Linked DNA regions of Diceros bicornis minor. The main gene of each other region encodes a partner of the protein of the gene in region 4 in a complex. Links are inferred from orthologs where the notes say so. Each region holds a gene or a part of one and is shown on either strand. Other genes may lie near its edges.

Region 1 (7,299 bases), on a different chromosome or scaffold from region 4:
GAGTTCCGGAGACCCAGGGAGGTGAGAGGACCTGGTTTGAGGCCAGGCTGGGGTGAGAACCAGGTGTCCCCTGCGGCCCAGGACACTTACAGAGCAAGAAGCTCAACGTTTTAAGAGCTCTGAGGAGCTATTGTTCTGTCAATGACAAAGGATCACGGAGAGAGCGGCCCCAATCACACATCCAGGTATCGAAAGCCAGGTATGGGCTGGTGGCCCTGCCTTGAAGAGTGAGAAAGTGTGAAGGTGTGGGCAAGTGGGGGCCGGGTATCTAGACAAGGGAGGTAGGAACCACCTCACTTCCTTCCTCTTCTCCCACTGAATTCCTCCCAGGCTTTCACTGAACCAAAGGAAGACACAGGGAAACAACTGAAATTTCAATTTGTAATGAAAAGAAAGACTTCGACTTCAACATTCTGCAGCTTGGCACATCAGAGATAGAGGGGGCCGGCTCGGCATCCACAGCATCCGTGCCTTGGCCACCCACGGCCCTCCTCCCTCCCTCTTCCCTGCCATTTGGAGGTAATGCTAACTCGAGCTCTCTCCCTCCCCAGCCTCCAGCACAAAGGAACCCCAGCCAGCGCAGGCACGGCTCTGGGGGTCCAACCCTGTCCCAACACCTGGACCCAGAGCGTGGGAGCATCGTCTGAAATGAATCTAAATAAAATCTCTTTCCACCAGAGGCCCTGAAGGCAAAATCCCAATAAAAACCTTTAAAACCCATAAGGGAAGTGTCCCTTCCTCCACACCCTGCCCCCTGCCCCAACCACTAGTTCCCCATTTAAACTCCTCCAGCAGAAGGTTATCTCAGGCACCACCCACAATGCCCCTTCCCCATCTACTCACTTCCTATCTCATGCCCAAGCCAAGCGGGCAGAGGGGCAAGACTTTGGCCTGGGGAGGGGCGCATTTTCTTGGGGAACCATCCTCTCTCCTCTCCAGGTTAGAATTAGCATTTTTATCTCTGCAACTGCCATCTCTCAACTATTTACAGAAGCCAAGAGGATAAAAAGAGACAACATAAAAATAGTTACTTAGCAGCTTTCAGGATGGGATGGGGGTGGGGGCACAACACAGAATCTTCCTATTTTCTTTCTCTCCTTTTCAAAAGGGAAAAATGCTAGAACTGTTTATCTTTTCCAAAGCACTCCCCAATAGTTCACAGACCACTTACCTGGGAGCTTCTTGGGGACAGGGACCAAGTTCCAGCGTTCCTTGTCACCAGCCCCCCCAAAAAGTGTGGGTTCCATGAAAGACCATGAAGGTTCCAGAGCCATTGCTAAGTACAGCGCAGCGCCCTGCTCTGCCCTGTTTCCATCACCTCCTGGGCCTCCTTCCAGCCTTCCAAAAAAACCAGCCAGTCAAACAAAACAAAACAAAACTCTGGCTTTTCTCTACGCTTAAAATGTTTCATAATTGAAGAAAAAAAATTCAGTGGCAACACTACAAACAGGACAGAAACTGAGAACACTGGTGGCTAAAATAACTCCTTCCCCATTTTGGTCACTACCATCCCCCAGCAGGGAATGCCAGAGCCAGAGGTCTTCCCTAGGAAGTCGAAGAGCACTCACCTCCTTTTAAATATGCTATTTTTTTTGGTTTTGTTGAGGCAGCGATGCAATCAGGGAAGAAAGAACAAATAATCATTCAAAATCCTATTTTTCAGAGAGCAAAACCATTCAGAAATTATTTCTGCACCATAACCGCCTGGAGAGGGTGGATTCTACTCCATGAGAAAATGGGCATCCTTTGCCAGCATAAGGAGAGCGAGGGAGACACAAGAGCACGGGATTAGAGGGTGTGTCAGGATCCTACGGGACCTGAGGGTTGATTTTCTCTTCTATAAAATGGAGCCACCCTGGCTTACCTAGCAGGCAGCTGTAGCATCCATCCTCTATATGAAAGTGCCCAGCCCACAGCTCGGCTCCTAGTCAACAAATGAAAAGATCGTGATTTCCCTTCCTCTCTGCGCTCCACCTTCCCCAGGTCAACTGAGAGGGGCTGATGCCCCATCTTTTCTGGGCTCCCTCCCAGCTCTGTTTTCACGCTGCTCCATTTCCGGTCGGTCCGTGGTGGGCATTCCTGGCAAAGCTATCAGGAGAGACTGAGCCGACTCCAGGCCCGGCCACCGAGTTACGGCTCGATTTGTCTGGTGAGGCTTTCTCTACTTTGTGGATTTACTTACCCGGCAGAAGTTTCACAAAATATATACCAAGAAAATCACACGGGGACCTACATTTAACGAATTGTCATCACTGAAAAGAATGGAGCTGAATGAAATCCAGACTCTCCCTGACAATCACACTTCTAACACCTGTGACTTGACCGGGGAGGCAATGGGCTTAGAAGGGAGCTAGGAGTCCTGCGGAGGAGCGGGTGGCAGTGAAATTAAGGGAGTCCTGAAAACCTTCCTCCAGGAAGCTGGTCCCCAACTGATTTCAGAGACCCATCCTTGCATCGCCCTCTCTCTGCAAATGGAGTGAGAAGATAATGTCTTATGCCCAGAGGTTTATTAATTGGGGGCTGCCGAGGCAGAGGAATGGATACAGTCGCCTGAAGAGGATGGACATTAAGAACCCAAATGTCCATCAATGGATGAACAGATAAACAAAATGTGCTGTATCCATACAGGGGAATATTATTCGGCCATAGGAAGGAAGCGCTGATATATTCTACAAGTTGGATGAACCCTGAACATATTATGCTCAATGAAAGAAGCCAGACACAAAAGGTCACATATTATTAGCAGGTCAGTAAGGTAACAAGCACAGCCTCAAAGAAGAAAAGTCCATTCCAAAAGGCAATGCAATCTCCTCAACTTCCAGGAAAGAAGGCACAGAAGCTGGGGTGAAGGCCACTGCAGCACCACAGAGCCAGGCCGCCCTGCACCCCACATCCGGGTTCTCTAACCCAGTCCAAAGGGGAGGAGCTATTGCAAAAGCAAAATATCTGGCAAAAATAGCAGTGAAGGCCCTCTGACCCGAAGGAAAATCTGAAATAGCATTTGCCCCAAATCTCCAGGAAATGGGAACCATATGCTTCCCACAGCCACCAGAAGCAGGCATGTTGGGGAGAAGAAGGTCACAGGTGGCCCTGAACAAGTGACTCAGCCTCTCTGAGCCCTTCCACAAAATCGGTTCATGGAGGGGTACAGGCGATGCTGTGCCCCATGTTAAAATCTGAGCCAAAGTGCCCTGAAAACAGGCTTGGCCTGCCCCACCCAGCCCACCCCTTCCTCCTGAGAAAGGTGCCTCCACAGCCACTGGCCTGTCTTGGGTCCAGACTGAGGTCCTCAAGGAGGGAACTCTGGGTTCCTACAGAAAGTTCCCTCTGCCAGGTCATCCCGTCCTATCTCCCTTCCTCCTACTCCCATCCAATCTCCACTTCTTAGCCCATCCTTCCAGGCTCAGCACAAACAACACCTCCTTCAGGGAGCCTCCTGGATTCACAACAGAGGCACTCCTGGCATTTAGGGCAGGGCAATTCTTCATGCCTGCTGTGGATGTCTGCTGAGGATCTGGCCCGCTTGCAGGATATTTGGCATCTCGGCTCCTGCCCACCAAAAGCCAGGAGTGCTCAGCATCATTTTGACAACCAAAAGTCACCTCCACACTTTTCCAAGTGCTCGCCAGGAAGGTGAGACTGCCCTGGCTGAGGGCCACCGCATAGTTATTAGTGAATACATTTGGCCACCAGCCCCCTAACAACCTGGGAGCAAAGACAAGCCCAAGCCAATCAGCATCACCACCATGCCTGCTTAGATGTGTTCTCACAGGCTAGTTTGGTAAACAACTCTGGGCTCCTCAAGAAGCTGAGGGCAGCCTGCAAGGGCCCCGGGTCTAGAACAGGTGGTAAAGTGCAAAGGCTCTAAGGCCTGACATGCCTGGGTTGCTGTGTGACCCTGGGCAAGTTACTTAACCTCTCTGAGCCCTTTTATAAAATGGGACTAACTCCTAGCAACACTGCAGGACTGTTTCCAGCCTCAGTCTCCTTATATCTACAATAGGGATAAAAATTTGCCTTGTAGGATGTTGGCAGGCATTAAATGAGATAATGCATGCAACACATCACACAGTATCTGGCACCCAGCAAGAACTCAACAAATATGAGTTATTCACATCATTAATATTATTATCCAAGTTACGGGCTCATCAAATGACCGCTATTACTTCTTATTACAAAAATATGTTGTGTGCTCTCACTGCGAATGGCTGCTTTCTACACAGGAAGAGTTTATGAGCAGCCATCTGGAAGGAGGATCGAGACTCACTAGGAAGCTGCACTTGCATAGCATGCACACTGTTTATTCTTAAGCTGCATGTTTTTGTGGGGTGGTTTGGGAGAAGCAGTCTAACTCCCCCAAAGCCCTCCCCTTGTTGCTGCCCCTGCCTCCCCTAGCAACAAGGCAGCCTATGGGGACCTAAGTCTATCCTCTTTTCTCCCCTGGGGGCAGGGGCAGGGGCGGGGGAGTGGTGAATGACAGCACAGCTCTAGGGCACAAGAAGTTTCTATCTCTAGGATTGTGGAGACTTCCAGACCGAGGAAGGTAAAAGTTGCCTCTAAGGAAAAGGACCCTGCATGTCCCATCCCGAGGCCAACGCGCCCCTCTCTTGCTGACTGCCACTGAGATGCCGTCTGCCCCAACCTTCTGCGGGATATGGGGCAGAGGTGCAAGCTCTTCAGCGCCAAGTGAGAGCAGCAGGGCAGCTGGCAGAGCTGTGAAAACACCCGGCTTCCCAAACTGGGCAGTGCAGGGGGTGGGGGAAGCCAGGAAAAGCTCGAGGCTGGAGCGAGTGGCACCCCAGGCATGCAGAGCGGGGTTGGGCCCAGCACCCCGCGTCCCCGGGAGGCAGGCGGAGGGTGCCAGTGAAGGCACCTCTCTGCGTTCACAGCGGAGCTGCGTCCCCGAGGTGAATTTAGGTCAAAAGGACCAAGGCTGTGAGGTTCCGGCTGCGAGAAGGGGGGCGGGGGCAAAGGGCCCCGCAAGTGCTGCTCTGGGGTCCTGCCGCCTGATGTCCAAGCCCCCAGGGCCTGGGTTTGCCCCCAAGACACGCGCGGTGCGGGGGTGATATGCTCCAAGTCCGGTGGCCTTGTCCCCTGCGCGCTCTAGTTTCCCCACCTGTCAAACGTCGGGGGTGGGCCTAGGCCGCCTCCAGCATCCTTGACTGCCCCCGCCCGCGGAGACAGCGGTTCCAAACTCCGCGACCGCCCCTGCCACCCGGGCCGGGCGCGGCCCAGCCAAGGAGGCCACCCCCAAACCCCGGGCGCTCCGAGGACGCGGGGGAAGGGGCGCCAGGAGCCGCGTCCCCCACGTGGCGGGGCGTGGGGCGGCGCACGTGGGGTCCCCTCGGTGGGGGAGCCCGGAGCCGGCCTCGGGGCTTTGTCTGCAGTCCCGGCAGTGGTCCCCCGCCCCGAGAGCGCGAGGCCGCCGGGAGCTGCGTCCCTCGCCCGCCGCCCGCCGCCCGGCTCCCAGCTCCCGCCCGCTCACCTGGGCTCCGCGCTCGGCGCCCCCGGCTCGGCTGCGCTCGGCTCGGCGCGGCGCGCTCCTCTCCGCGGCCCCGGCGGGCGCGCGGGGGGCGGGGGCGGGAGGAGCCGCCCGGTCCCGGCTGCGGCGCGACGCCGCCGCGGGCTGCGCGGGGATTGGCCGCGGCCGCTGGAAACCCGGGCGCGCCCCCGCCGGCTCGGCCCCGCGCCGGGAGGGAGGGGGCGGGAGCTCGCGGAGAGGAAAGCAGCGGCGGGGCGGAGGCGGAGGCGGAGACAGGGGAGGAGGCGCAGGGGAGGGGAAGTGCGGCCCGGCGGGAGGGGTCGGAGGAGGCGGCGGAGCTGCGGACACGGGGAGACCTGCCGGGCGCACGAGCCCCGGAGGCTGCGCGGCGGCTTGGCCCCCGCCCGCGGCGCGCACCTGCCCCGGTTCTCCCCGCGGCGGCCGCGGCACCCTCCGGCAGGCCGGACGCGCCGGCAGCGCTCGCTTTGTTTTAGCCACAGGCGGGGACTGCAGGGCGGCGGCTGAGTCGCGGAAAGTTCCCCAAGCCTGCGGGACACCCGGGGGCCCGCCCCGCTCCCCGGCTCCCGCCCCGGGGCTGCTACCCCTGCCCCAGGCGACCCCGGTGGATGTGGCCTGGATTTCGGGTCACCATCCATTTGGAGAAACCCCTTCCGAACACGCTTCCTCACTGACCACTGCTCAGGGCTCGCCCTAAATTAGGCTGGGGGACGGTGTTCCTCTTCCACCCCGACTCCGCCAGGATATACCAAACTACACGAATCCCAATGAAGTTCTGGCTTTTCCCCAAGACTACTTAGATGCTTTTTGTGAAATACATCATATTCTTCTCGAACATTCTACTTTTGGCGCCCTACTTTGCTGGAGCCTTAAGTGTGTGTTTAGTCTCCCAGCTGGGCAATAGCATTGCGAGGGAGGGGGGCGGGGGAGAAGAGCTCAAGGGCTGCCAGACGGGGGCCTTCGGTGTTTCGAAACCCAGACCTGAACCGAAAGTTACCCAGGGGATGTCTCGCTGACCCTGCCAAGCGGCCGGAAGGGAATCAAGAGTTGAGGGGAGAGTCAAGGGCCGAATTAAAGGTTGACAGGTTTCGTCACCCCTTCTGATGTTATCCAACACGCACTCGTTCGTTGGTAACAGTAAGAACTTGGGAACAATCGTCCTAAATGTTCATCAGATGAATGGATAAATGAAATGTGTTATAGTCATTTGATGGAATACCACGCAATAGTTCAAAGGAATGCATTAGGTCTATTTGTACAGACATGAGGAGATCCCAAAAACAAAGAGTAAGTTGCAGAATACGATACACACAAATATGATGCACAATTTGTGTGTACTATTTTTAAACCCCACACAGTCTATATTGTTCATGGCCGCGAGCTTATATACAAGTGCTTTAAAAGTCAGAGGGGATGAGTGCAAATTAAATTCATGAGTCTGTCCCAAAGGAGGAAGTAGGGACAGAGAATAGAGAGGAAGAACATAAGCAATGTTGTCCATTTTATGCCTTTTTTTATAAATGGATTTGAAGCAAATGGCAAAATGTTAACAGTCAATTCTGAATGGTGGAGGCATAGCTCTGTATTTTTCTATTTTCTCCCCCAAAATATGTATCAGGGCTGATGGGGAGCATTTTGGACATTTCTGACTCTATGTTAGGGGTCAGCAAATGTTTTTTGTAAAGGACCAGATAGTAAATATTTTAGGTTTTGCAGGCCATACAGTGTTGCAACCACTGAACTCTGCCATTCTAGCAGCCATAGACAAAGTAAATAAATGGGGATAGCTGTGTTCCGAT
Region 2 (7,052 bases), on a different chromosome or scaffold from region 4:
AGGCTGGGACAGGGTGGGAAGGAATACTGCGGATACATGTGGAGACAGCCTCTGCAGCAGGCACCACCTTGGGGGTGGATTTTGAAGAATCAAAAGTTAACTGGGCCATGAAGCATATACACAAACACGTCCTACAGGTCTGCAGAAAACAAAGAATTCATAGAAAACATACTTTGGCAGCGGAAGCAGGACACATCATTCCATGGCCACAGCAGTGCTCACAGTGTGCAAAACACCACGTGATCTAGAGAGAGTAAATAAGCCTCGGTCTCTGCTCCCAGGCACAAAATATATTACCTAAATATGAGGCAAACTACTCAGAATACAATGCACATTGAGAAGAAGGGAGAAGGAAAGGTGAATTTAACTCTGGTCCTAAGTACAAAGAGCACTGGGTATGAGGGTGGGGAGTACTCTCATTAAGGCACTACCTGGGGTGGGTGCAGTGAGTAAAATCCAGAAAAATCAAGGTGGGGCAATCACAGGTCAGCCTTCAGCAGAAGAGGGGAGGAGGAAGTCTGAGCAGGAACTGAGGGATTCCTGCAGAAGAGAGGTGGGGCCAGTGGGCTCCGCCTCCTCCCCCTCTCTCACTCCCCCCACAACCTACTTGTGTCCAGTCTGGCCGAGACAGGTGAGGGCGGAACTCCTAAGGCCGGTGAGAGGGCGGGAGGGTCATGGGATTGGGGCAGGGGTGGAAGGAGGGTGTCTGGTCCCTTTGTAGAGTCCACCACTTCTTCCTATACAGAGTTCGGAGAGCTCCTCACAGGCTGGTTTTGGTGTACGGGCTGCCTAGGTATTGCTGCTGGTTGCAGAGGAAAGACAAGGCTTCTCCCCACCAGCCTCCCAGCCCCTGTGGTAACTCCAGGCAGGAAACTTGAAATCTGACTTTACCAGGTTAGGGCAGGTAGAGGGTGGGGGACCCTGGCAGATATGGCGTATAGAGAGGTCAGGTGTTACCTGGGCCTCTGTCTACTGCCTGGGCCTTTGTCTGTCAGATTCTCTCCCACGTAGTTGTGTCCCCATGGCTTTGTTGTGTCTCTCTGCACTTTCTGCCTCCAACCAGAGCATGGGCTGACTGAGGAAATGGAAAGACAGGGTCAGATGGGGTAAGTGGTGCTCCTTTCCCCCTTCTCTTCCTAACAGGGTCAGACTGAGGGCCTCTGACTGGAGGGTGGGGGTTGGAGGTTCAGTGCGAGCAGTGGAGTGAAAAAAGGCAGGGCCTGCCCAGCACCTGGATTCCAGAGATGCCGGTGAGCACCGAGGTTCCAGGCAGTGGACCCCAGGACTGGCTCCTGGATGGTGTAGAAACATAGAGCTGGAAGGCAGACAGCAGGGAAGAAGGAAAAAGAAAGGTAGCAGGGCCATGACACTGTAAACTCGCACAGGGCTGGGAGTCAGAACTCCTAGGCTGGTTTCCTGGCTATTCCACACACACTGATACCCTGGGACAACAGTGTGATCCTAGAGAGAATCACAGAGCTGGAGGGAACCCTGCAGATCATTTATTTTGGCCATTTATTTGATTTGAGATTGAAGAACCTGAAACTCAAAGTATGTCTAATATGGTTACTTTGCAATCTGACCCAGCCATGATGCCAATTGCTAGTGTAGACACAACAGCTGTGTGTCTTTTTACAGGAATCTGGGGAGGGGCCATGGTGCCAAGCCAGTTGTGGGGGCGACTGAAGAACCTGCTTCTCTTCCTGTGCTGCGCCTCCCTCCTCCTGGGGCTGGTTTTGCTGGGCATACGGCTGGACATCGCCCCTGTTGCTTATTTCTTTCTGACCTTGGGTGGCTTCTTCTTGTTTGCCTGCCTCCTGGTCTGTTTTTTGGAATGTGGGTTCCAATCAGTGCAGACCCAGAGCCCGGGGGCCTCAGGCAATGCACGGTGAATTAAGGGGCGGGCAGGAATGGAGGCACACCAGGGACCCATTCTCCCCGCGTCCCTCTAGTCTCTCGGGCACACAGTCTCCGCTTTCCTGTCACTGGTATCAGTGAGAGGAGGGATCAGGGGCTAGTGGAGGGGTCTTCTGTCAGTAGAAGTTAGGAAAAGGGGTCCTTTCAGGAAGCCACCAATGACCTTACTTCTCCTCCCTCAGGGACAATGAAGCCTTTGAAGTGCCAACCTATTTAGAGTCCGTGGTGTTAGAATCACACCCCCAAGAGTTGGATCAACCACCCCCCTACAGCAGTGTTGTAATCCCCCCAGGACTTGAGGAGGGACAGTCTAGCCATCCAGATGGGCCCATGAGAGCCAGACTGGAAAGGCGAGTGGGCTCAGAGGGGTCCATAATCACAAGAAGCCCTGGAAGAGCTCCACTCAACCTTCGGCTTCGGGGAACACGAGTCGTGTCCACTGTTCCTGATCTGCAGAGCTTGGGGACCCTACAGAAGCTCCCCAGATTGGAGCCTCTTACTCCACCCCCTGCCTATGATGTCAGCTTTGGTCACCCTGATGATGATAATGTTTTCTATGAAGACAACTGGACACCCCCCTAAAAGACTTTCCCAGGATATATCAGCTCTCTGCACCAGACCCACTCATTCATTTGACCAATATTTCCCAGTGCCTGCCACGTGTCAGGAACTGTGTTTCCGCCTGGACATCACAAATGGGGACTTTAACCCAGAGGGGAGTCAGGCTATGGTAAGTCCTTCCCAGTTGAGATGTAGGTGGTACAATTTGAGTCTTCAGGCAACATTCAGTGACCTACTCCATGTCCTCTATTTCCAGAGTTAGATTGAGGGTGAAATGAAGAGGTGATCCAGAGAACCTGGAGGAGGAAGAAAAGAAACAATATCTGAGAGACAGCCATGTTGCTTCTGTTTTGGGTGCACTGCCTCTATTAGATCACTTAGGCTTCTTGGCCTTGTAAAGTATTATTACCCTTATCTGAAAAATGAGGATTCCAAGGGTAAGAGAAGTCTGATAATTTGCACAGGCGCACACTTCTAGTAAATAGCATAAAAATGACTTGAACTCTGCTCTTCCGATCCCAAAATCCATTGTGTTTTCAATACAAGGTAACAGAAGCCTCTCAATCTCTGTCTTGGACAGTTGCTGGTGAGGGGTGTAAAACTTCACATAGACATAATGGGGGACCAGTTGTGTCCACAGAAAGGGTGGGCTGAGTGTGACCAGGAATGCGCCCAGCCCCCTAGAGAAGCAAAGCTAATCAAAGTTGTGATAGCCCCTGCTCCACTGGGGAGCAGTCCCCAATGCAGTATCCCCATCCTATCGGAAAGCAGTGGAGTAAACTGCCCCAGGGGATGTTGAGAATGGGTGGGTAGGTGGGTCAGAAAGAAAAAACGTCAGCATCTGGGCGACGGGTGGCAGAGTATCTAAGGATCCCTCTTCAATCACCTATTGTGAAGAGCTGGAGCCACTTGCACTGTGCCTCGAATCACTTCAGCCTCACCCATGCGCTCCGACCGCTAGGGTTTTACCCCGACGCCCCGCCCTACTTCCCAGTTAGAACATCAGATCCCAACAGAACACCAGATATTCTTGAGTCATGTGCTGTGGCTGTGATGTAGGTTTTAGCCACTGGGTGCTGCTCAACCATCGCTGATCCACCCTCCTCGGGGTGCGCTCCCCTCTCCGGCCTTCATTCATCGCGCGGGGATCTGTCTAGCGCCGTTTAGTGTCTCCACCGTCTCCTCACCCCGCTGCCAACCGTTCAACTTCAATAAAGTGAAAAGTCCGACCACATCCGTCTGCATAAGGTTCTTGCAAGAGGCGGGTGAGGAGGGGTGGGGCCGGGGAGGGCGCCGTGATTTCCGCGGGAACCGGCGACCAATCGGATTCCCGCGCAGGACGGGGCGGCTCCGCGGTCTCCCCCCGGCTCCTTCCCTTTCCGCCGAGCGCGCTCTCTCACCAATGGACGGCGCTTCCACCGCGAGGGCTCTGCGCCTGCGCGCGCACCGGCGCAGGCGGCGGCTGGGGGGCGGGGCCGGCCTCGCGTCGGGGTGGAGCTAAGAGGGAGGCGCGCAGGCGCGCTGTGCGCTGGCTGACGAGGGAGGGATGCGGCGGACGCGACGGCTTTTGGTTTGTTTGGGTTGTGGGCGGTGCGTGCACAGCCCGGGAAAAGCGGGAAATGGCGGCGCCGAGCGCGGGCTCTCTGCCTGCCCTCCAGCAAAAGGGGCTGATGGCTGCTGACAGGGGGCGCAGGTGAGTGGGGGAGGGCCCCAGGGCAGGGGAAGGCGGGTCTCAGGCGTGAGGCCCTGGCGCCCCCTCCCCTCGGAGCCCCTGGAAGCAGCTTTCTGCAAGGGTGGGAGGCCGGGCTGAGCCCCTGAGGGGCGCGCGGGCCGCAGGCCTTTTCTCAGCCTTGTCCCTCGTAAGCAAAGACTGCCTCAGCCTCCCTTCGTCCAACCCCGGCAGATCTGAACAAGAGGAACCGTTTCCAGTCCTGCCAAATCTCGGCTTCTCTTAAAGATTCTCCATCTTTTGTTTCCCCTGCTTGCCTTATGAGCATCTGTACTCTGCCCCCTTAAAAACCGATGAGACCTGCAGACCTCGGAATTCTGCCTGATGTGCACTTGATCGGATTGAACATAATCATGACCCATATTGCTTTGGATATAATGACCAGATTTGCAAAGCAGTCAGCACAGGCTTTGGGGTTTGAGTGCTTTGAAAGGAAGGGAGGTTCCCGAGGCCGCATATGTGTCTCTCCCTCTGCCACAGTTATGTCATTTCATGGCAGACATCACCCAGGATAACATTATTTTAATGCCTCCTGGTCCGGACCAGAAGATTAATTTAGGACTTCGGAGCTGGAACTTGCAGAAGGACACAGAATCAAGACTTAAGAACTCCCTTTGTGTCCTTTTCTTCACCCCATCTTTCCATTCTAGGCATGTCCTAAATTTCTAGGTGATTGCACTTACATTTGGAAAGTCCACGTTTGAGACTCCACATATTATGGAATACAGGAAGGAGCAGGTGTGTGGAGAAGGGATAATGCTTCAGATTAAGCCTAATGAGTTATTGATTGAAAATTTAAGTCTAGAACTTGAAAGAGTTAAGAACTGGGAGTCAATTAGTGAATTGTGAGTATGGATGAGATTGAATAGGGAGAGGCTCTTTGAGAGGGGGTTCCTAATGGAATATCAGCATTTAAGGGCAGGCCAAAAGTCCTGTGAAGGAAACAGGAACATTAGGCAGAGAAAGGACCTGGAGAGAATGGTGTCATGGAAACTAAGGGAGGAGAAAGTTAAGGAGAAAATGCTCTGGTAAACTAGGAAGAAACCTGAGTAAACTTGCTCCACCATTGATATTAATCCTAAGGAAATACCCAGCATCCGGCTGCGACGTTACTTGTGGTTGGCCTATTAACACTTACTTTTACTACAGTAAGTATATGTCATCATTGTTACTGTTTTGATGTGTTCTAAGGTGATTCTTAAATGGAGTTTTTAATTTCTCTAGATTGTGTTGTAGCAGGTTTGTGCTGAAGGTTTAGGGTAAAAAGAGTATTACAACAGAAGAGACACAAAAAGTTAAAATGGAGTTTCAAACATCACTCTCTCATACCCAAAATTGAATCAAAGTTGGCTGCTTCCAAACCTGGGAATGTTTTACTGACCTTTTCCTATGCCTTTAGATTCTTTGTGCTATCTTCTTGGGCCTCTCTCAGCTCTTCTAAGACTCTGCATTTCCCTCTAACTATAAATCTCTAACTTAAAGTCAAACCAAGTACATGGTAGATGTATGCTATTTCACTGATTCTAAGATGCACATTTTTCCCCCCACATTTTAACATCTTTGAAATCAGGATGCATTTTTAAATAGGTTTTCAAGTTATAAACTGAAGCTGTTACCATATCCTTTCTCACTGCCATCAGGCCCTTACTGTCATGTATTTGGAAACTGTGACTAAGTAGGCTGGCAAGCTCTAGGTTTATATAAACTAGGCACGTAGATGTTATATACTGGAAATGAGATTCTTTTAGTTCATAAACAGAGGCTGATCTCTTTTCAAACTTACAGCAAAACTAAGGAATCCTTGAAATAAAGACATCCCTAGTAAATGATTTAGCCTTTACATAATTTAACTTGTTAAGTGATTTCAAGTTATGTTGATTGTGTTCATTATTGGCATTTATCTATTGTGACTTTTCGTCGTCTTTCTACTCACTCAATTCTTACAGGATTCTAATCATAAAAGCCATAGTTGTAATTGGTGTAAGTAGGCTAGAGAGAGAGTATGTATGTGTCTGTCTGTCTTATTTTTTCTTCTATTAAAGCTGGCCATTGGCTTGAGTTTTTGCCATTGTATTAAATTATTTTATTCCTCACTGAGAATCATTTTAAACTTAAATCACTTTCAGCAGTCTAGATAAATAATGTAAAATGTTTTCTGAAATAATCCTTGATTAAAATTGGTCTGTCAGAAGAATATTCTTTCTCATGAATATGTGTGCCTGTGTGTGTGTTATTTTTGTCAAGTTAGGTATTTCCCTTGGTCAGACCATTCATCTCAGAAGATGGTCTCAGTTGAACATTCTCCATAAAGAATTATACATCATTTCCTTATGACCAATGTGTTACTGCTTAATACTTCTTTAGTTTTAACCAGATTCAATAAAATATATCTAATCTTGGCGATCATAGGTCCTGTTCTTTTTGCTCTTCCTACCCACACCTCTTCCACTCCACTCTTCTGTGCCAAATCTTGTACTTGACAGCCTTTTGTCTGCCTTTATCTGTAGGATACTGGGAGTATGTGGCATGCATCCTGACCATCAGGAAGCTCTAAAAAAGAACCGAGTGGTGCTGGCCAAACAGCTGTTGCTGAGCGAACTGTTAGAACACCTCCTGGAGAAGGACATCATCACCTTGGAAATGAGGGAGCTCATTCAGGTATCTGGAGGCAAAAGAGAAAAGCCAAGAAAATAAATTGGTTGTAGGAGTAGGAACAGAGCGTGATAAAGTGTGGCAAGGATGTAGAACCTTACTAAGGAAATGAAAATGCCCTTCTTTGCTAGAGCATTTAACAGAAAAGATATATAATTCAAGAGTAATGGGAAGGACTTCACTCGTACATATT
Region 3 (7,342 bases), on a different chromosome or scaffold from region 4:
AATTCCTGTCTTCAAGGATGTTGTGGGGAAGAAGGGTTATGTATGTATATAAATAGAGGTATGTCTGCGTGTGTGTTTATAAACAGAATTGTCAGACCAAACATAATGTTGGAAGCAGTAAAAGTAATGAAAGTCTGACCTAATCATATGCCAGGACACCTCTCTCTGGGTCTGAAACATCTTTGTCAGACTGTAATGTATATTTACATCCTTGGTCATCACGGCGGCACACTGTGAAGAGCTTCGGCTGCTCTTACCCTCCTAGTTTAGGTAAATTTATAAGCAGAACCAGTTTATGCACATGAAGCTAACAAGGCCTTGCCCTTCTCTTTTTTGGTGAGCTTTTCTTCCTTACAGGGATGACTTTTTTCCTTTCTCCTTCTACTTTTCCAAGTTTTAGTTGGCCACTACTTAGCATGGTTAAAGCCCGTTCTCAGGAAAGAATCTGAGGAACACACTTAAATTAAATTGAAGATGATGAAGAAGTAAAGTATAGTGAAATTTTGCTCTGGTAATATCTAATGGTGAAACCTCAGCCATCACCTGGCAGAGTGAGTACCGTATGACAGGAAGGTTGTCTCTTATAGGTGTTCATCTATTGAGATCATTTGTAGGAAGCACATAGCACATTGCTGAACACATAGCAGGTACTAAATAAATGTTGGCTTCCTTCTCTGCTCTTCCTCCTCCTCCTCCTCTTCTTGCTTCTTTTTAATATACCTTTAAAATGGTGCCACACAATTGGTACACCCATGTTCATAGCAGTATTACTTACAATAGCTAAAACCCAAGTGTTCACTGATGGATGAATAGATAAACAAAATGTGGTGTGTATACATATACATATATATATATGTATACACAATAGAATATTATTCAGTGTTAAAAAGGAAATAAATTCTGCAATATGATACATGGAAAAATCTTGAGGACATTATGCCAAGTGAAATAAGCCAGTCACAAAAAAGACAAATACTGTATGATTCCACGTATATGAGGTACTTAGAGTAGTCAAAATCATAAAGACAGAAGTATAATGGTGGTTGCCAGGGGCTGTGGGGAGGGGAGAATTGGGAGTTAGTGTATAATGGGTTAGAGTTTCAGTTTTACAAGATGAAAAGAGTTATGGGGATGGATGGTGATGATGGTTGTGCAACAATGTGAATGTATTTAATAACACTAAACTGTACACTTAAAAATGGTTAAGATGGTGAATTTTATGTTATGTGTATTCTACCACAATAAAAAAAATGATGTCACAGATGGCCACCTAATCTTCTATATTCAAGATCAATTATGCTTAAAACATTAGGAAATTCTGTTGGGGAAGCATGTTTAGTGGTTAAACGATTGGGCTCAGGCAACAGGCTGTTTAGGTTCAAGTCGCAGTTTTCTTTGTTATTATTAACTCTGCAACTTGCTTGGGAAAATTACCAAACTTTCTGTACCTCAGTTTCTTTACCTGTAATATATGGATAATAGAGAAGTTACCTGTCCCATGAAGATGTTTATAAGAATTTAAAAAGGCAACACATGCTGTGCATTTGGCATGGCACCTGGCATATATGGTAAGTGCTCAACAAATGTAAGCAAGATTATAATCAAATTTTATGAGCTGATATTTGAGCAGCTTGGAGAGAAGAGCTTCACTGTTTCTTATTACCACCTTCCACTCTCATGCCAGCTTGTTGATCTCTTTCCTATTCCTGACATCTCAAAGATACATTTAGGATTCCAGCGATGACCTTCAGCTATATTTGAATACTTTCCCGGTGCATAAGTCTATATTCCCACATTAGGTATGTACCTAGATGCAAATCTTGAACATTATGTCTCAGTTAATTCATTTGTTCACGTCTGCTAAACAATGTTAACATTATGAATAGTAGTGAAGTCTTACTTATACCAAGAACAAATTTGGGATGTCATCTTTTATGATAAAAATCTAAGGTCTTCCTATGCACATGCTTGTGCACACACTTAAAATGGAATATTATAATTAAGTGTCATTTATTAAAATTATATAACTCCAGCAGCTACTTGGTTTGTCGATTTCTGCTTTCTTGTCTCAGTCTTGGAAAGGTCTAGCAATTATGATTTCATGAAACTAATGTGAGGAGAAAGACTGGGTTGGTGTGTAAGTGATTGTATATAAATATATGAGGGATGATTTGATTAGAAGCAATATTACACAATGATAGGATTGATGGTTTGAAATTAGACCTGAGTTCGAATCTTGGCTTTACCATTACAGGTATTGACTTAACTTCTCTTGTCTGTTTCCTCAACTGAGAATTGGGGAGAATGACATCTATTTACATGGTTGTTGTAAAGTTTACACGAGATAATGCCTGGCAAATAGTAAGAACTGAAGAAATAGTTACTATTTTATTTATTCTTTCCAGAAGGAAACTGATTGACAAATATTTGGGGTCTCTTTGAGCCATATCACTTGGTCAGCTTCTGTGATCTTTGGAACTTAATTCTTAATCCCTTTATTGTCACTTGCTCTTTGATAACAAAGAGAAAGTGATTACCAATTCATTTCAAAATGTGTGTATTACAGTTGATGGGTCATAGTAGCAGTTGTAAAGCAAACAACAGAGTGGGGGTGGGGAAGTGGATGGAGTAAGTTCAGTCACATACCTGGGAAAAGTCAATAATGAAGATGGAGCCTCAATGTGTATGTCTTACCAGAGAGAGGAAAACATGGGTACAAGATTTGAAGCAATAAATCAACTTAGAAATGCTGAAGTTCTTTCCTGGCATCAAACTTCATGCAATTTGGTTTCTCTCTTTGTTCTTATTTTCTCTACTACTAAAATTTAGGATAATAAAATTTAAATGTTTATAAAACCCACTTTAAGACAGAAAAAGTATGACCTTGAAATGCAAAGTGGAGCTATAAAAACTTGCTGAACGCGTTCATTAATTTAAATACATGTTCCTGTCTATTATTATGAAATGCATAATTTTGTTTGTACTGTATTTGGGTGACCACAAGTCAACAGTAAGGTAATTCACAAGTAAACACCCTGGCCTTAGATGTAGAGGCAATAAAGTAATCACACCAAAATTTTTACTTTCATTTGAATTTTTCAGTTTAAACTCAACGTGCCCTTGCTTTTACACAACAGGATTAGGGATTAAACACTTGGCTCTTTAAAAACCATCAGACAGGCACAAAATCTACACACCAAAAACTCGGGGAAGGTAAGGTGCCCACACCTGGGAAAGCTTAGATGAAGATGGCGTTTCTCTAAGTCAAGTCAGAGGTAACGCGCTACCTTCGCTGCAAAGACTGCTTGGATTCCTTTCTGTGTATTAGTCAAGATGTTTTGCTGACTGAGTCTAGGAAATCTACAGGAGGGCGGGTTAGGTTACACGCTGTCCACTTGTCATCGTAGTCTCTAACACACACAAAAGCCTTCCTTAAAAACGCAAGCCGGACTGAAAAACTTAGGACAGACAATGAACACATCCTGGGCGGGTAATGGACAAAGCGATAACTCCTCTTACCTTCTTATAGGATTCCACCCCCCGCCCCCATAAGTACATCTCCTAAGAGATCTCTGCTACAGTTGGAGCTCGCCTAAGCCTGAAAAGAACAAAGCTTGGTTCTTCTCTCTGACACTCAAAGGAAGCGCTAAGGTGAACACATCTGACACTGCCGCGGAACTTTCCGGCTCTCTATGGCTGCATTTTGATACAGGAAAGACATATTTTCGTTCCCCTTTCAAAATGCACCTTGCAAAGGTAACACGAACCCGGCTAGGATCTCGGAAAAGGGGAGGAGGAAGAAGGCTCGGAGAAGTTGGCAGCGGTGACTACCCGGTTCGGCAGAACCTGGCGTGTGGGAGGGTCCAGGAGCTTCCCCGGGGGGCTGGTTCTGCTCCTGCCGCTGGCTCTGTCGGTCCTCGAGCGTCGGAGACTGGACCTGGAGAGCGGCCGCGACTGTCCCCCACCTGCGGGCTGGGCTGGGGCTGGACGGTAGGGACGCGGACCTGCAAGGAGCGCGCGCGCGGGAGGAAGGCTGGGAGTCAGAATCGGGAAAGGGAGGCGCGGGGCGGCGAGGGAGGGAAGGAGGCGAGAAGGAAGGAGCGGTGGGGGTGCGGAGGGGGTGGAGAAAGCCGCTAGAGCAAGTTTAGGGCCGGACCAGGCAGCGCCGGCTTTTAACCTGGGCAGTGGGGGCGGGGGAAGGAGCAAGAGGAAACGGGAGGTGTGTGGGGTAGGGTGGGTTGGGGAGTTGGAAGCAAATGACATCACAGCAGGTCAAAGAAAAAGGGGCGAGCAGCAGGCACCGAGGAGAGTAGGGCGTTTGGCATTAGGAGCGCAAGCCCAGCCTGCCCCGGAGGGATCCCGGCGCCCCCAGAGACCATGCAGAGGTCGCCTCTGGAAAAGGCCAGCGTCATCTCCAAACTTTTTTTCAGGTGAGAGGGTGTCCAGCCGAGCTTCGGAAGGACACGTGCCCGTGAAAGAGGAGGGCGTGTATAGGCTGGATTCTGGGGAAAGAGGAATAGTTTTTAAAAAGATGCGCTATCATTCGTTGTTGTGGAAGAGAACGTGGATTTTGTGGAATAAAATAGAAAACATTAAGAAGAGATAAAAGAATAAACTGAAGCCCATTGTTTGGGTAGAGAGCCTTAGCTTAATATTGAAGTCTTAACTACTTGCAACTGAAAGTCAGGCTCTCAAGACCCAAGTGTGCTACTGTGCATTGTTGTTTTAGATTTTTCTAAGAAATTTATGAATTATAAACTTGTTAATAGCAAATACTTAAGTTTGGTTACTTGTTTTCCCCCTTCCTGCCTTGGAAACTCAGATGTCTTCTTGGCACACAGACAACAATGCCATGCCTGCCTGTAGTAGGTGCTCAGGAAACATTTGTTGACTGAATTTTGAACTTTTTAAGGGGAGAGGGGTGAAGCGAGTAATATGTGCTTAAGTAAAGTTTTTATTGTTATGATACTCAGTAAATCGAACAAGCATTTGCCGCAATTCCATTATTCTTCCTTTTAAGAATGAAAGCAAATGTTTTGAAATATCTATCTTAAAAAAAAAGCCAATTTACGAGCTATAAATTTTAAAAGAGGGGTCAGAATTATCATGGAAATGTGAAGCCATGGGAATAGACTCAAGTTATATCCAATTGACATTTAATAAATTGTACTCATCCTATTTTGCATGCGATAAGCCATAAAAGCTTGCAAACTTCATCTAATGAGATTTTTAAAAATAGAGTCTAAGTTCAGAGTCTTAGGCAAAGTGTAATTAGATGTAGCATTTCATATTTGAAGTCTTCTTTGGATACTATATCTGCTTTGTTCCTGTTAAACTTGTATGAATGAATGAATAGGTACAGCTCTCCCATGGGATATTGCTTGACTCATAATTATCCAATGAATCAGCATACTTAAGGTATCAGAAAAGCCAAATATATTATAAATATGCCCATATGTGTGTGTTGAGAAGGTACTCGGCTTTCACATCTTTCTATGTTTTATTCCCTGCATGAGCAATAAGCCTGGGACTTAGGTGCTAAGGAGAGGCCATTGACCGTTGAAGGAGAGCTCCTCCCTGTGGATGAGAGAGAAGGACTTTACTCTTTGGAATTAATCTTTTGTGTTGATGTTTTTAGCACCTTTTGTTACTCCATCTATAAAAATTGGATTATCTGTTGATCTATTTTCCTACTACTTACCAAATCAGAATGCTAACTGGCATAAATTGTAGACTTTTTAGTAGAGCACTTTGAGGAACCTAAATGCCAGTCAGTGTAAAAATGCAGTTTTCAGAAGAATGAATATCCCATGGCTACTTCTAAGTACTAAGTACTAAGGAACTTTCAATGAGCTCATTGTTGATTTAAATTAGATCATTGTTGATCTATTAAAGTTTTTTTTTAAACAGATCCCCTTATAAATTTTAGTATAGTTTAAAAAATGCTCTCAGGTTGATTTGTAAAAAAAAAAAAAAAAATGTATTATAGTGGCTACTAGATTTGTTAAGAGCATACTCATTCCTCTTCTCCAAACTATTTCATAACAAGTTGCTCTAAGAATAGGTATATTTAAAAAAGTTAAGTTCCTACTATTTATAGGAACTGACAATGACCTAAAGTATCAGTGATTATAAACTTCCTTCTGGGTTGCAATTCTGAAAGGATAAGAAATTTATTTTCTGGGTTGAATTAGACAGTACTGCTTAGGGATCAAGGGTGTTAGATTTTGGATTTGGATTCTTTTGATTCAAATCCCAGATCTGCTACTTAGTAGCTGTGTGACCTGAGGCAAGTCCCTTAACATTTCTGTGTTTGTGTGACTTGACCTTTAAAACTTGGAGACTAATAGGACCTATGTCATAGGGGTTAATCTGTTGAGAATAATGCATGTAAAGTGTTTGGCCCAGTAAATGTTGGCTGTTATTATTATTATTATTATTAATTACCATACTTTTACATTCTTTACAATACCACATACCTTGTTTATATAAGATAATCAGTTCATCTTTGTTGAATATAATTCGTGACTTTCAGTCTGTATATGCAATGAATGGGCCTGGTTGAGAATTTAGTTTAGGTAAAATCTCATCTAACATGGCCTTACTAGATGTATAGGAAAAAAGTCGTATGCTTATATCATGTGTTGTTAAATGCCTTAGAATTTAACATTCTGAATATGATCCCTTCAGTCTCAGAGTCATAAAAAAATAAAGCTATTATGGTCTGGGTTATGGATTATATTAAATATCTCTTTCATTATTTAGGTTTTGTTATTGGAAAAGTTAATAAAATTTGGGAAAAATTTAAGTACTTTCTTAATTTTGCATGAGTTTCACATCAAGTACAAAATCTGAAGTGTCGTAATGCTTATATATGTATTTTAATAAACATAATCTAAAAAAGAATTTTAACACAAAATTTAAAATAGTTTATGAATATCATAGAAAACAAGTAGATTAACTTAAAGCTTTTATGAAATAGGAAGATGTTTTTGAACTAGAGGTGATATATTTGCATAGAATTTATGATTCATATACAGTGACAGTGATTTATAAATGTTTACCAACAGAGATGATGTTTTTCATTTTTGAGCAATTTTCCAAGTTTACATTTTCTTTTCTTTTTTTTTTTTCGTGAGGAAGATTGTCCCTGAGCTAACATCTGTGCCCATCTTCCTCTAATTTGTATGTGGGACACTGCCACAGCACGGCTTGATGAGCGATGTAAGTCCATGCCCGGGATCCGAACCTGTGAACCCCGAGCTGCCAAAGTGGAGTGTGCAAACTTAACCACTATGCACCCAGGCCAGCCCCCCAAAGTTTACATTTTCTGATAACTTTT
Region 4 (7,309 bases):
ATTCAAAGGGCAAGATAGTATTGTCTAGTAAGTAGGAGACCTCTCCGTGTTCACTCTCCTTAAACGCAAGACTACACAGTTATCTTTTAAGACTAAACTACTCCTTCCCTCCTTTTCAAAATACTGCATGTTATTTTTATCCTGGCCATCCACATACAAGTATCACGCCGTACAGGTCCCAACAGTGTTATTACTACGATAATTTCATTAAATGCAAATAAATTTAATCCCTTTATCAACAGGATGATTTCAGCTTCAGAAGAAAGCTTACTTCAGTGGTAGGACTATTTTCTTTGTATCTTCCTGTATTTTCAAAATTCTCCAGCAGAGGAAGAAACAAAGTTCTATAAATTGTTACCATTTTGGGGCACTTACTACATTTCTTCTTTAATTCTCACAACTTTTTCAAGTAGGTATTGACCCATTTTACAGATGAGGAAAACGAGGGCCAGAGGGGAGCCTAATTCCTCCAAGTCACAGTAAACAGGTTTGAAAAAGGTCTGCTTTATCTTATAAAATGTTCTTTCCTCCATACCCTGTCAAGCAGCAGAAGCAAAAATATAGCAAAAAAGAACTTTTCCAAATCTCAACCTAAGGTGTTTTGTAACAGATTCTCATTCCCTAACATTTCCTGAAAATGATCCAGCAGGAAGTCATTTTTAAAGGTTTTTATTAAAAGTTGCCAAGTTAATAATTTGCAATGAACCCAAGTATACAGCCCGCCCCTGCACTATCATTAAAATATTGTTTAAAATTTCTATCTTTATTCCATCATTGCCCCATTTTAATCGTGAGATGAATGTTTAAAAATAGAAATGTATTTATAAACTTCGAGAAAACTAGAAATAGCAAGGCGAATAGGCATACCTAAAGGTCACTGATTTGCATATCTAAGGGTAAATGAAATTCTTATTTTTTGGACCAATTCTTTTCTGGTGGAAGATGAAGTGCTCAATTCCACCTGGCTAATCTGTTAATCTCTGCATTACCTTGGACAAACTGCATTTGCAAACTCCCTACCAGCCCTTAGATGCACTGCAGCCTCTGTGTCATTGTGTGTGACATCACTGGGTTGCTATGGTTATAGGTGCGAGGTCACTCACTTTCCTGTGAAACTAGAAATATGTAAAAATTAGAAGAGTCTAAATAACACAAACTAAAGATATTTTCAATATTGATATCTATTAAAAGTCCAACATATCATTTGAGCCTTAAAGACAGTGACTGTGGCAAAATATTAAAACAGCAGTACTCCCAATTTCAGAATCAATTCTCTTAACAAGATAATCTTTTTTGTTAATGTAGCTGGCTTAAATATAAAGGCATCAGCACTGTCATCTTTTGGGAACTAGTCAACTTACTCAAGAATTAATCTGTAACACCTATACTGCTTCACTAAAAAGATTTAACATGCAAGGTACACTGCTGCACCCACTTCACACTGGAAACACATTTTAAAACCTTTGTTACATAAGGCAGGAAGTTAAATATTAAGATAGTAGGAGACCTAAATCATTAATTTGCCATGTTTAACTGAATAATGATCAAAACGTCCCCCCTCCTCTAATATCAAACTGGTTGACAGCCCATTAAGTAAATGTGGTGTTACTGACAAAATGGTGCAATACAGGCAGGAATCTGCATCCCAGACAAAATGCGACACCTGGAGATCAGTATTGACTTTTCATCAGCAGGAGGATGTGCTAGGTGTTTTTTTCTTTAAAGCTTCAGATGTATCCAACAAAGCAAATCAAAAAAAAAAAAAAAGAAGAGACTTTTGCCCCTTTAAAATAACTCCTCCCAGCCTCCACCCAGTCTAGGCTCTCTGCAATATGACAAATGCAGAATCTTCTGGAATGACTTGATACTGCCTCCCACCACCGCTTTGTCTGCAATATCAGATCAGAGAGAATATTTTTTCAACTTATAGAAATTTCAACAGATGTGTGCCTGTATTTAAAAAACAAACAGCATATGTCACAAATTGAACCAGTAAGCTAAATTCACCACCTTTATTTTAAGGACAAAACCTACCCTTTTCAATACAAAAACGGGGGGGCGGGGAATGGAGATGACATGTTGAGAACAATCAATGAAAACGCTAGCGAGACAAACGTTCCCCCTTCCTAAAAGCAAGAGAACTTGCTTTGGGGAATGGAGAAAGAGGAGCCTTTTGTTAAGAAAAATGTGAGCAAGGAGGTTTCGATTTTGCACCATTGAGCCCAGGTTTTCGGGAGAGCCTACATTTTTTTCCGGGGGGGTTCTAAAGGATCTGTCAGAAGAGGCAGTGGGGAAGATGATTTGCGGGGAGGTGGGGGGAGTATCAGAAAACCCAGAGACGTGCTAAGTGAATCGGGAAGGCGCCGCCCAGACACCAGGGAGAGAAAGAGGAACCGCATCCATGCGGTCCCCCGCCCCCACGCCCAGACTGGGAGGAGGGGAAGTGGGGCACAAAGGATGCGCACGGCCCCCGCTCAGGTCCCCGGCACACCCAGAGACGCGGCGGCCAGAGACCCCGCTCCTGAGACCAGCCCTGCCAGACCCCGCCCCAGACCGAGCCCGGGGAGGGCCGAGGAGGCAGCACCGCCAGCCCTGGGGGACATGCGGGGAGAGGCCCTATCGCTATCGGGACCCTCGCCAGGCCCGAGTGGGTAAGCAGGGGCGGCCCACCCTGCAGTCGCGACAGGCGACTAGTCCTCGGGCCGTCCCCGCGAAGGCCCGCGTCTGCGAAGGGGCTGGGACGAAGTGGGGGGAGGGGAGAAGAGACTCACGTTCTTCATGGCCGCGGCCATGTCGTCGTAGCGCTCCGCCTGCTCGGCCAGCCGGGCTTTCTGCACCAGTTGCTCGCGGTCCACCATCTTCGCGGGCTGGGTCGAGCTGGGCGAGGAAACCGGGGCGGCTTGAAGGACGGCTGCGGCGCGGCTGGAGCCCGTGTGCCGGAGGGACCGACCCACGAAGCGAGCGGCTGAGGCGACGGCGACTACGCGAAAGCGGCGGCTAGAGCTTCAACCGCGGGACCGGGCGCGAGGCGGCTGCGGCTGCTGTGCGTGCCGCGGGCGGACAACCCCTGCGGCCCCGCCCACGCCGCGTGACGCAGCCGGTCCCGCCCCCCGCCCGCGCACCCCGCCCAGGCCCCGCCCCGGCCCTTCCGCTGCTCCGGCCCCCTCACCCGAGCTCAGCTCGCCGCGGCCTTCTAGGCGTCCCCTCCTTCCCCGCTGTCCCCTAGAACTTCCCGTTCTTCACTTCACTGCGCCCCAGCTTCTCCAGATGCACCCCAGTCCGTCGCGCCGCAGACCCCCACCCTGCTAGGCCCCGGCGCGTGGGCCCCTGGGAGTTGTAGTTCATCCTCAGGTGCGGTGAAACGTTGGGGACATCAAGGACAAAGGGGCAGTCAAGACTACATCTCCCAGTGGTCACAGCGCGCAGGAGGTGGAGGATGGGCGGTCTAACTCCGCGGCCGCTGGGGACCCCTGGCGGGGACGAAGACTGCATCAGTCCAAGCGAGTGCTGATTCACGGCCCCGCCCTATATTCTTTGGGAAATTACCAGAGGAGGGGGCCAGGGCCTCCGCCCTGGCCTCTATTTCCGATATACAGTAACAGGCCATGAGGGGGACGGGGGATAGGGGGCGCGACCCCTGTAGATCCAAACTGTCAGAGTGGTGCCGGCCGGCAGATTTAATTAAGGAGCTAAACCTTGGGGGACTGTCACCCTCCCCTACAAGGTTCCAGCTCCCCATCCCTACCTTGAGGTTCTTGGACCTGACGAGGTGAAAACATGGAAGGATAGTTACCACCGGAGTACTGGTTAATTTGCAGAAAGGACGTAGCTGTCTGCAGGCTGACTGGAGAGCCCCTTCTTGCTCTCCAGGATGGAGTGTTCAAGATTCAATTCAGTTACCAAGAGCCTACTGTATGCCGAACACTGGGCTGTATCTGGGGGTTGACCAACCCTTCTCTCCCCACCTAGAACATACACATTAAGGTCAGACTGACAAATTCTTGCTCATATGCTTCCCTTTTTGACATTCCATGTAGCTCACACACCCCATAGTTTTGACTGCACATTTTACTGACTTCGTTTATTCAGCAATTATCTATTGAGCACTATGTTCTAAGCACTGTTCTAAGCAACGGGGTACAGCAGTGAACAAAAAAAATCCCTACCCAAGAAAAGAGGCAAGATAAAGATAAATATGTAGAGTATGTTAGAAAGTGATAAGGAGTAAAAAAATAAAGGATACGAAGTGTTGTGTATGAGAACCTAGAATGAAGGAGTTTCTGTGAGGGAATATTCCAGGCTCTGTGCTAGGTGCTGGAGGAAGGGGGAATGGAACCCTGCCCTCAAGGAATTTAGAATGTGTTAAGTATCTTTTTAAATTCTTTCAGGCTTGATAGGAAGAGGTTCTGAAAAACTTCTCCAGAGAGATTGGTAACATTTCCAACTCAGCCCTTAAAGGATGTGTAGGATTTGAGAGCAGGCAGAGGACACCAGCAGCAGGACTCAGAGGCAGGTTCCTATCAATATTTATTGATAGGCAAAGAATCCAATGTGTTTGTTGCCTGAAGGGATGGGTAGTGGGGCTGGGGATGGAGTCAGGAGCCAAAACATGAGGAGCCCTGAATGGCAGGCAAGGGAGTGAAGTCTTTATTCTGAAATAAATAGAAAGCCTGTGAGAGATTTTAATCAGGGCAGAAAAACGATAAGATGTGCATTTTGTCCTCCTCAACATCATTGCCTCCTCAGTGCTTAGCACAGTGCCCAGCACACAGTAAATATGCAGAACATATGAAATACAGAAATGAGTAAGTGAATGCATGCACTGTAGGGAGACTACTCTGGCAAGAGTGGAGATGGACTGAGTGAGGAGAGAGTCTAGAAATAGCTCTCTTCTCTCCCTCCTCCAACATAGGCTGTAGCCCCCCTTCTTTTACTACACCACCCAGCAAAATGCAACTGTGCTGGTGAATAAACCCTCCCACTTCCTTCTGTCTTTTACATGAGTGTTCGCCAAGTCATTCCTCTTCCTTTCTCTTCCTCCCTACAGGCCAGGCCTGAACCATTCTAGCCTGGACATCACAGGTCCATGGGAATGTCCTTTACAGCCAACCCTGGTTGTCCACATGTGGATTAAACGTACCAACGATTCAGGCTCCAGATGCTAACTCTCGGGAACTTCCTGGCACATTTCAGGCTGCCTCTCCGGCCTGCAGTCTCCACGTGGAGGCTTCCCTCCAGTGGTTCAGGAAGAGCTGGTCCTGCCCTCCTTTCCCTTCTTGATTTTTTTAAGACACTAGGCTTAAAGCTATAGCTGCCCAGCAGCCCCTAGCTGCTTAGAGGGCTGCTTCAGAGGCATGGCGACATTACACAGAGCAAAGGGCTTAATATTCTGGCTTCCCCCTCCACTGCCTGGTACTACTGAAAGCAGGGAGCAGGGAGGTGGAGAACTAGCATTCTGGCTTCTGCCTGGCTCCCAGCTCTATGTGCAAGGCCTGTCCCCTCTCTGGGTCTTAATTTCCCCACCTTTGAAGTAGAAATTAAACGAAATGAGCACTAAATGCTCCACCCAGCTGTGACAGTCATAGTTCTATATTCAGTATGTTCATCTTCTGAAATGGAAAGCTATTGGCATTCTTTAGCTGTGGAAACAGGGAATCTGTACCTGCAGACCTGGGAGATGGTTCAGTCCCAAGGATTCAGAGGCTCAGCATGATCCCTGACTTTTAGACCAGGAAGCTGAGACACAGAGATGCTGTGTGACCAGCCGAAGGTCACATATCAGTGACTGATAGAGCCTAAATTCAAACTCAGGCAGATCTTCCAGACTCCCAGCAGCAAGGGCACCCTTTCCTGACCAGGCTATGAGGATCTACCCCTTGGCATCTGGTCAGGAAAGGAGGTGACTCTGGTGACTGGCCTGACACAAGGGAACTCTGCAGGCACCCCGTATGGCTAACCCTCCGCCCCATCTCCAGCGCTGGAGGACGTGACCTTTACATGCATCCTCTCTGGCTGAGTTGGTGGACAAGCAGGCCAGCCAGAGACATTAGTGCCCTGCTGTTTCTGTGCAGTCATAAATCACTGCAGCCCCATCCCCTGGCTCCTGGCTTTCCCCTGCGGCTAGAAAGCTCCCTGATTGGTGTGGAGGCAGCAACAGCAGTAGCAGCAACTGCAGCATCTTCAGAAGCAGACCAGCAATGCTCCCCACTCTGTCCTCTGGGAACACTTCCCCCGTCACTGCCCTAGCAGGCTGGTCTTCAGTAGGGGCAGAGCACATAACAGATTCAGAGGCAAAGGACAACAGAGAAATCCCAGTGGGATGCCTCACCTCCTGAGGATACTGGGGCAGTGAAGGAAGCCTTTGCTGGGAGGTAGGACCCACAGGTTGAAGCCTGGACTTTGCTATTGATCTTGCTGGGTGATCTTGTGCTAGTCACTTTACCTCTCTGGGCCTCAGATTGTGCATCTATAAAATAAAAGAATTGGATGGATGCTTCTTAAGATCTTCCAGCTTGTAGCAACAGCCTTTCAAGCACTCTGCCTCAGTGTCTTCCCAGCCTCGCCCAGTAAAAGATCTGACAGATCTTTACAAATGTACATCCCATCTTCTTCCTCCCTTGCCTTGGCTCCACCATGCATGCCACTCCCACTGCATATGGGCCAAAGTCCCTGCTCCTTAGCCTGGAATTCAAGGCCTTTCCTGAGGGCTCCTGTCTACCTCTCCAGCTGCATCTCACACAGGGCATACAACCTTGGCATTTCCCGGCCTCGCAGTACCTTCTTCCAACTCCGGGTCTTTTCAAAAGCTGTCCTTCTGCTGGGATCTCCTTCTCTTCCCACCCCCATTCAATACTTACTCCCTCATCTTTCAGACTCAGACGCTGTGAGTTGAACTGACTACACCCTCTCAGTGCCCTCCGGCCCCCTCAGTTCCCACGCTACATACTTCCAGAATGGAGTCTAGACCTCCTTAATGCACCTGTATGTATATGAGTCTGTCTTTCCCCAGGGTCTTACAAACGGATTCCTCAAAGAAAGAGATCCATCTGAGTCACCTCTGAGCTCCAAACCTTGCATGGAGCAGGTACTCAGGAAAGTTTTGTTCAATGAAAAAGACTCTGCTTTAAGAAAGGATCGACCTAGTGATGTTCTTTCCTCTTGAGAAGGACTTGAAAGTTTTTGCCCCAAAACAAGCGGCTGTGGCCAAGTTGCAGCAAAAACTCAGGAAGGCAGAACTATAGACAATCCCAGGAGCAAACAGGGCCGCAGCCAGAAAGGATGGTCTTGCAGAGGATCCCGACAGAGGATT

The links.
Region 1: the proteins of YWHAG (region 4) and CAMKK2 are in contact, whole or in part, in a crystal structure (PDB 6Y6B), measured with the Homo sapiens proteins. The link is inferred for Diceros bicornis minor from reciprocal best matches to the Homo sapiens genes YWHAG and CAMKK2. Residues at the interface, in NP_036611.2 of Homo sapiens: Ser46, Val47, Lys50, Asn51, Arg57, Arg132, Tyr133, Gly174, Leu177, Asn178, Val181, Glu185, Ile222, Leu225, Asn229, Trp233; in NP_001257414.1 of Homo sapiens: Leu99, Ser100, Leu101, Gln102, Glu103, Arg104.
Region 2: the proteins of YWHAG (region 4) and CASP2 are in contact, whole or in part, in a crystal structure (PDB 6S9K), measured with the Homo sapiens proteins. The link is inferred for Diceros bicornis minor from reciprocal best matches to the Homo sapiens genes YWHAG and CASP2. Residues at the interface, in NP_036611.2 of Homo sapiens: Glu15, Asn43, Val47, Arg57, Arg61, Lys125, Arg132, Tyr133, Pro170, Gly174, Leu177, Asn178, Val181, Glu185, Glu213, Asp214, Lys217, Asp218, Leu221, Ile222, Leu225, Asn229, Leu232, Trp233; in NP_116764.2 of Homo sapiens: Asp137, Leu138, Ser139, Leu140, Pro141, Phe142, Pro143, Val144, Cys145, Glu146, Leu150, Lys152, Lys153, Leu154, Ser157.
Region 3: the proteins of YWHAG (region 4) and CFTR are in contact, whole or in part, in a crystal structure (PDB 5D3E), measured with the Homo sapiens proteins. The link is inferred for Diceros bicornis minor from reciprocal best matches to the Homo sapiens genes YWHAG and CFTR. Residues at the interface, in NP_036611.2 of Homo sapiens: Lys50, Arg57, Arg61, Lys125, Arg132, Tyr133, Leu177, Asn178, Val181, Glu185, Ile222, Leu225, Asn229, Leu232; in NP_000483.3 of Homo sapiens: Arg766, Gln767, Ser768, Val769, Leu770.

Annotation. Positions count from the first base shown.
Region 1 is NC_080774.1:8,552,915-8,560,213, reverse strand, and holds the start of CAMKK2 (calcium/calmodulin-dependent protein kinase kinase 2), read right to left. Parts: upstream 3,008-7,299; 5' UTR 2,011-3,007; coding exon 1,865-2,010; intron 1,339-1,864; coding exon 1,172-1,338; intron 1-1,171. UniProt on the Homo sapiens protein: Calcium/calmodulin-dependent protein kinase belonging to a proposed calcium-triggered signaling cascade involved in a number of cellular processes. Isoform 1, isoform 2 and isoform 3 phosphorylate CAMK1 and CAMK4. Isoform 3 phosphorylates CAMK1D.
Region 2 is NC_080742.1:90,548,439-90,555,490, forward strand, and holds the start of CASP2 (caspase-2), read left to right. Parts: upstream 1-4,040; 5' UTR 4,041-4,097; coding exon 4,098-4,171; intron 4,172-6,714; coding exon 6,715-6,865; intron 6,866-7,052. Other genes in the region: TMEM139 (transmembrane protein 139), read left to right, coding at 1,554-1,888, 2,100-2,499. UniProt on the Homo sapiens protein: Is a regulator of the cascade of caspases responsible for apoptosis execution. Might function by either activating some proteins required for cell death or inactivating proteins necessary for cell survival.
Region 3 is NC_080742.1:68,339,447-68,346,788, forward strand, and holds the start of CFTR (cystic fibrosis transmembrane conductance regulator), read left to right. Parts: upstream 1-4,336; 5' UTR 4,337-4,377; coding exon 4,378-4,430; intron 4,431-7,342. UniProt on the Homo sapiens protein: Epithelial ion channel that plays an important role in the regulation of epithelial ion and water transport and fluid homeostasis. Mediates the transport of chloride ions across the cell membrane.
Region 4 is NC_080765.1:3,537,474-3,544,782, forward strand, and holds the start of YWHAG (14-3-3 protein gamma), read right to left. Parts: upstream 3,020-7,309; 5' UTR 2,859-3,019; coding exon 2,772-2,858; intron 1-2,771. UniProt on the Homo sapiens protein: Adapter protein implicated in the regulation of a large spectrum of both general and specialized signaling pathways. Binds to a large number of partners, usually by recognition of a phosphoserine or phosphothreonine motif.